Nothobranchius furzeri: one gene and its partner. The protein of the gene in region 2 purifies or fractionates together with the protein of the main gene of each other region. This does not show direct contact. Links are inferred from orthologs where the notes say so. Each region holds a gene or a part of one and is shown on either strand. Other genes may lie near its edges.

Region 1 (3,656 bases), on a different chromosome or scaffold from region 2:
ACATTAGCCACCTTTACATGGACACAATTAATCGGATCGAATGCCCAATCAGATAAAAGAAATTCTGCATGTAAGCCTCTCAATCGGAATGAAATTCCAATCCGATTGAGAGGGGTGGTTTTGTCCGATCATCATTCTGATTGACATGCACGTACACAGCCATTCGGATTGTTGGAGTAAAATAATGCCCACTGTGCATGTGAGAAAACAACTAGAGAGCCACCCCGCCATCATTTAGATTGCCTGACCTAAAAAATGGTGGCCTAATTAACGAATGCCGGCTTTTAAATATGATGGCAATCCAGAACTTGCATTTTGTGGAAGTAAAATAAAAATCTGATTATGGCACAAATCATTTGACAACCATGTTTAAGTCTGTGCTGGAAACACGTAGATTCATTGCGGGATTTGCAGCACGGATCCGTTTCTGTGAACGCAGCAGCCGTTTCTGCAGCAGGTGGATGGAGACGTGCTCGTAATGAAGACAGGGTAACATCGGTTAAACAGACCTGGTTTGAGTTTAAGGAGGCTGATGTTGAGTAGAAAAACATCCTCAGTTAGATATTCTGGCTGACTATCTGTGTAAAAGCACGTTAAAGGGACTTTATGGAGTTCTGAATTTTTATGCTTGCGATTACCCCCTCTGACCAAAAGCATAACGGCAGCTTCAATAGTAGGCTCATGCATGAGGCGGACATGCTGTACGTGCACACTCCTCAACGAAAATAACAGCTGAGTCCCTTGTGTGTGTGTGTGTGTGTGGCCCGGAGGACAGAGGACAGGAGAACGCGCAGCTAATTAATTAAATAATTTGGTTCTGTACCTTTCTCTTCAGCACAGACGACAAAGGTTTAAGATGGGTCAGTCCTCCTGCATGCTCAGATCATTCCCTTCCCTTGCTTGAAAAATTGTTCCAAAATGAAAGTTGAACCCACATCTTTTTTATCTGTGAATTCAATGCCGTTCAGCGAATCTCAAATAAAAATGTGGGCATCTTACTGTAAAAAAATGTACCATTCATGTAAAAAAGAAACTCTTAATAAACTATGTTCACATCAGGAATGGAACCCAGGTCTTCTGCACGAGAGCCCAACGTCTAACTAGGTGAGCTAATGCGCCAGTGACGTCATTTGTATCTGTGACATTTATATCCTTGATGACAGCTGAAACAACGTTCAAAGAACGGTTCGGAGCGAAAATGGCTATTTTGATGCTAATTTGCAGGAAATATCTAGAAGAAAGTTCCACAGAAAGTAGCTAAGGGTCCTCAGAAATGTAGCTAGGTTCATCACGAGGCGTTAGAAACAGCGACAAAGTGGCTGAGTTGGCACTACCTCTCTCTCTGCTGCTAAAGCTACTGATAGCAAATGCTACGGGCGATGCCTGAGCGTGAACGCGCATGAAGCAGCCTGCTCGACCCGAGCATCTCTCTTTTTCTGTGATTTTACAGAAAAACAGGCAATCACAGTAAAAATGCCAGGGCTCGTTCTACAGGACCAGGGCATTGCAGGAGAACGTATGAAGAAGAAATTTATTATTTCTATACATGTTTTGGCTGTCAAACTTCCATAATGTCCCTTTAACGCAGATGAGATGCAGTTGGTTTATGAACACATGATGAACACAGGCTTCCAAACTTTCTGAACATCTCCTGTTATTTAGTTTGAACCAAATTTTCCCAACAGTTTCAGCTGACTGTCACATTTAATTAATAATAAGCCACAAGAGAGCTCAGTAATAAAACATGAGTCTGACCCCCCCCCCCCCACACCGCGTCACACCCATGGATCAGCTGATCAAGAGGCAGAAACAAGGATAACGCTCCCTTATTTTAATATTGTCAACAATAAAATGCAGCAAAGCATAAATCTGCAGTTACTCACTGAAAACGTAACTTCTAAGAACAAAATAAAAACATTAAATTGATTCAGAAAAGCAGGAAGAATTGTTATTTATGTTTTTACATTTTTCATTTTGTTTCATGACGTTTGTTTACAATTTTTTTCCGGGAAAGACAACTGTGCGCATGCTCAACTTATTTAATCTGATTGAATACTTGGTGCATATAAACTCACGGCATGATCGGATAATTTCAGTTAGTGTGCATGTAAACAGAGATTCGGGATTTCCGATCAAGCAAGATATGAATCGGATTGGGGAAATTTGGCGCATGTAAACGTGGCTACTGTCTAAGTAAGTATGGTTGATGAATGAGCCTGGCCCTGACACGAATCGTGGCTCTCCTTTATTCTCAAAATGACCCACAGTTTGTGTTCAAATTCTGTTTACTTACTTCAACACGCTTAATGTCTTCTTCAAGGAAGTTGAGCTCTTTCTGTAGCTGGTCTAGTTGCTGGTATAAAAAAACAAAAACACAAGAACGGCTTCAATATTTTTCCTATTTTTATGATTTTATCTCCTCAGTAAAAAGAGCAACAGCAGCACCTCTCTCTTGTTTCTCCTGGCTTCCTTCAGAAAATCCATGAAGATTTGCCTCTGAGCTGCTTGGGATTCCTGGTGTGGATAAAAGACATCAAGCATAAACAAACTGAAATAGAACATTTACCAACTTACTGAAAACCACGGTCAGAAACTGAGTTCAGGACAAACAAATCTTCTTATAATAAATTCAAAAAAATTCTAACTCTATATTTATACTGACATACGGTAATCTTAAACTACTCTTCAAAATCATATGACACCTTAATATCCAAAGAATCCTTAAGATGAGAGTTTGTGTGTGTCAGAAATGACTGCGGTCATATTCTGCTCTGAATGAGCCAAAGGAAACCAACCAAAGTTTGGACTTCAGCCGACATTTAGCCGTTTCTTTGGGTGATCCATTCCTACTAAGGTTTCTTTAAATCAATCTTCTTACTGTAAGCAGGGAAGTGACTTAACCTCAACATTTTAAAAGCAAATCTAGAATGCTCCATCACTCATCGGCTTTTTAAAAGAAATGGACACCATCTAAATATAAGCCACTGGTTTTGTGTTGACGTTCGGTCAGGTCAGAAATGTCTGCAAACAGAAGGAATATCGATCCATATATCCAAGCAACGGGAAATAAAACCAAGCTGCAAAAGTAAGAAATATGTTGTCAAAAAGGAATGAGACTTAATTTTGGAGTTTGCATTCTCCATGTTTGCACCCAGACTATGAAACCAACCACCGACATTAGGCAGTCTACTTCAGTACAGAGTTTGAAGTCTAAGCTGGTTCTGCATTTTAGCTCCTCTGGTTAATCAGGCCGTTGTTTCAGTGCCGTTTTACCCTTCTTGTTTTTACTGACTTTTAATAATTTAGTAAAATTTTTTCCTTTTGTTGTAATTATTTTACTTAATTTGTGCTAATGCATTTTGCTGGTTTTAGCGTGGAGCACTTGACTGGTGGTATAAAGGTGCTCAATAAATACATAAAAAAATAATGAAAAATCCAATCAAATCTCTGGAAATTATGCAAAAAAAAAAACAAAAACAACAACTAACAAGTAGGGACGCTCCGATCCGACTGCGTGATCAGAATTGTGTGAAAAAGATTAGATTTAACCTTTTAAAACAACAAACATGACTTTTTGATTCACCCTGAGATACAGATTTTCAGCAAGGGCTTAGTTTTAATTTGTTAACAGGTTTCTCTACATCAATATTATTTGT
Region 2 (3,756 bases):
CAGATCACATGGCTAGATCAGTTTCGTGCAGCACTTAAAGTTTATTTGACTCATTTTACTTTACATCTTTTAGCTTTCACCGGCACATCAATATCAGGAGTCACATTTTGAGTGGCGGACAACTTCAGGATGTGATTCTAGTTCTTGTGTGAGCCTTGAGCACAGCTTTGTTTTATTTATACTCATTACAGAGAAAACTTGCTCACAAAGATACGTTTATTATCACTCTACATTGTAAAGTATGAAAATAAAGTTTACACAATCATCTCGCGGGCCGGATTTAACCCGCTTGCGGGCCGGATTTAACCCGCTTGCGGGCCGGATCCGGCCCGCGGGCCGCATATTTGACACCCCTGATCTAGAGTCTTCTGGTGCTGATCTGTAACTGGCAACCGTCATGAAACTCTTGAACCGGAGGGGCATGTTTAATACATGGACTACATTACCCAAATGTGACAACAGGATGTAATTTTTACTTCATGCATCTTTAATATTCATGTCCTGACCTAGTGGGTGGGGCAAACCAGTCTTTTCATTAAAGATCTAATTTATCGGTTTTTGTTTGACTTTTATCAGGGCTCCTGTGTCATTGTGAGCCTCAACAGAGCTCCTTGTGCTTTGTAGAGGCTCAAAGACCATTTTCCCAATTATAAATTAACTGTATTCCCCTGAAACTTAATGTTATGCTGTATTAATTTCATTCTAACAGAAGAGGGAGCTGTTGATTTTTTTTTAGGATCATGCCATTTCATAACATGTCTCAACTTTTAGCTCTAATAATGATTTTATTTAAGTTACAACAATTGAGGCTGACTATCTAACCTAGAGTTTATTGCATTGCCAAATTATTGCAGGGCAAAAAATTCAAATAAAAAAACAGAGAGGGGCATTTGTGTGCTTCTTATTTGAATGTTTACCAGCAAAATAAACTCATTAAAAGCAGGTTATCTTTGCTTAGACAGCAAACCTACGATGAAGATCGCCATAGCAACTTAAATCACTTAACAGCCTTTAGTGTTTGCCTGCAGACGAGTCAAAGTGCATCTGCACTCCCCCAGTCACTCACACCGAGTGCATTCCACAGCAGCAAACATGCTGAGACAATTCTCTGAATTGATCCGGGGGAGGAGGATTCTGGCGAGGTTGTCCCAATAATCTCCTAAAAAGAGACACAAGATGCACCAAGGACCTGAGGATACAGCCTACCGACACAGCAAACAGAGACCAAAGCCCTGTCATCCTGCTGGACTTATACAACTCAGTATTACTTACTCGAAAACATTTCAGCTTTTCAAAGGCACAAGAGTAAGTTTGATACTGTTCAGGACACAAACCGCACAAATAATTCTCACACAGGGTTAAAAAAAAAACTTTTTCAGTCAAAAAGTTCTTCACGTGGGAAAAATATTCAGTCTTCCTCTGAATCTATTTCTCTCACAGAACTCAAATTCTAGTTATGATTCAGCTTCCTCTTTGAAGCGTGCGGGCAGGACACTGTAAAGCCGCAGCCTGACTTGTGTTTCATGCGGCTGAGGGAGATTACGCTCTGCTGAGTCAAGACAGGAAGACGAGTGAAACTCTAAATAAGTCTGCCATTTAGGTTGGCCTCTCAGGGTCTGTCACGTCCACCCACTAATTGGAAACTGGCAGCGGTGGGCGGAATTTGAGATTAATCAGTCATTCTACTTTAGGAGTTCAGGTGGGCTAATCAAAATGTCATGCAGTCTCAAATAGGACTGCAGAGTGTTGTGAAACAGCATGACTTTTCTTTCTGCTAAGACCTTTGTGTTCAAGGAAATGGCAGTTAATTGTCATTTCATCATGCATGAAGCAATCTTTAAACAGGTAGTATTGTGAAAATATGGATAGAAGGGATAAATAAGAGCTAGGTTTGGAGATGTAGTTTTAGTGATTCCTAAATGAGGAGCAATGCTGTATATCTCAAATAGAATATCACTTGTGCGTTGCAACGTTCAAGTATTAATTTCTGGATTTTTAGGCTTATTTCGGTATTTAAAGTGGCTGTGTGTAGTTTTTAGCGTTAATTTCTGGAAATTTACATCCGAATGTTGTTGAAAAGGAATAAAATGATGTCCTGTTGTTGAAAAATATTGGCGGCTTAATAACATAACCATAAAAATTGGGTCTAGAGTGCATAGGGTGCAGATCTAGCATCTTAGATGCCATGTTTCCTTCTGGCTGGCTCAGGGTCCTGCCCCCGAAAATTACGTCATGCTAGATGATTGGCTGGATTTTCGTCTTTACTATGTTATCACATTTGAAAAAAATGTAGGCTGTAGGAAACATGAGTTTAATAACAAAACTGCTAAACTCTTTCCAAAACCTATGGGAAAGAACAACATCGAAAAAGAGATGCAATATATTTTGGCCAGTAGTAGTAGGCGGGTGCAGGACCCCGAGCAGATCCAGAAACTACAGCGCCAGAAAACTACAATTGGCATTGCATTCTCTCGATGGAATTTACTGAATCAAAGTCTGAAGAGTCCCGCCAAGGGTTGCAAGGGATGCTTTCTGCTCTACGGGTATACAGCATTTACTGTAGCGTTTTGTTTAAACTAGCGACAGTCATGGCGATATGGTGTAAAACTACCCTGGAATGTATGTACTGCCCCCTAGCGCCAGGAAACTGCATGCCACTTCAAACAGGAAGATGTGCTAAACTTGCCAAATTTTTCATCACTTTAATAATATTTTTGTGAGTTTTTTTGTCACAGATTCCTTATATTATGGAAACCCATTCCCGCCAATCTAATTGAAAAAAAAATCTCATAATTATGACTTAGCTATCTGATAATAATTAGAAAGTGTCTCCTGATAATGAGATGGTGTTGCAGTATAATGAGATATCTGTCATAATTATGAAATACAAATATGTATATTTTTTTATCAGGGTGGCGGTTATGGGCTTCCATACATAATTAGCCCTGAGTGTGGAAATGAAATAAATGACACAGACACTGTAACAAAGTTCATAATGTACTACTTTTCAAGTATTATAAATGTTTGTTTATGTGTCTTGTTTTAAAATGTCCTCATTGAATTTAATTTACCACTAACTTCTTTTAATTTGCAAACATTAGTATTTGCTGTCATTATTACGGACTTGTTTACATTTTAACCCTGGATTTGGGGCCCTTTTATATTAATTTCTTCTCTACCTCCATCACGCAGCTTGCATCATATAAAAAAATAACAATTTTAAGGCATTAAAACTTTACAAGCGAAGCTACCATGATGTCATGGTTTCATTTATCAACTTTTATTATGCAAAGAATTTCATCATCATCCGGGCGGAGCTGTTGGACCGACGAAGAAAGAGAGGCTCCTATTGGACGAGCCTAGCTGTCAATCAAGAAAGGGATTGTGCGTCATTTCCGTTGTCAGGTGGTGCTGTCGCTGTGGAAAGATGCGATCAGCGGAGGCTTTTCCTTAATTGCTCATTTCAGTAACAGAAGCTAAACAAACCAAAAGCAAACCTCTGTGGTCTATCCTGATTAAGCTAATCGCTCCGTACGCCCACCGCCGCGTCCATGCACGAAATGTCTATAATCTGAGGCGACGACGGAGATCGTACCCGGCGGTTTTGGCTCGAGGTAAGCGAGGCTTTTCTCTTGACACAGCGCTAGCCAGCTGTAACGTTCCCCACTTTGTTTAAATGGCCTTCCGGCTGCCTTCCAGCTTCGCGTTAGCTCAAGTCGGTACCTTGTGGTATTTTAACCTGTCGAGAACATTTCA

The links.
Region 1: the proteins of stk40 (region 2) and cop1 purify together in Homo sapiens (affinity purification with mass spectrometry; 3 studies listed by BioGRID and IntAct, counting the BioPlex papers as one, with this or other methods). This does not show direct contact. The link is inferred for Nothobranchius furzeri from reciprocal best matches to the Homo sapiens genes STK40 and COP1.

The regions. Positions count from the first base shown.
Region 1 is NC_091751.1:60,912,438-60,916,093, reverse strand, and holds part of cop1 (E3 ubiquitin-protein ligase COP1), read right to left. Parts: intron 2,515-3,656; coding exon 2,446-2,514; intron 2,354-2,445; coding exon 2,294-2,353; intron 1-2,293. UniProt on the Homo sapiens protein: E3 ubiquitin-protein ligase that mediates ubiquitination and subsequent proteasomal degradation of target proteins.
Region 2 is NC_091745.1:71,006,344-71,010,099, reverse strand, and holds the start of stk40 (serine/threonine-protein kinase 40), read left to right. Parts: upstream 1-1,099; 5' UTR 1,100-1,176; coding exon 1,177-1,305; intron 1,306-3,399; exon of another isoform or gene 3,400-3,614; intron 3,615-3,756. UniProt on the Homo sapiens protein: May be a negative regulator of NF-kappa-B and p53-mediated gene transcription.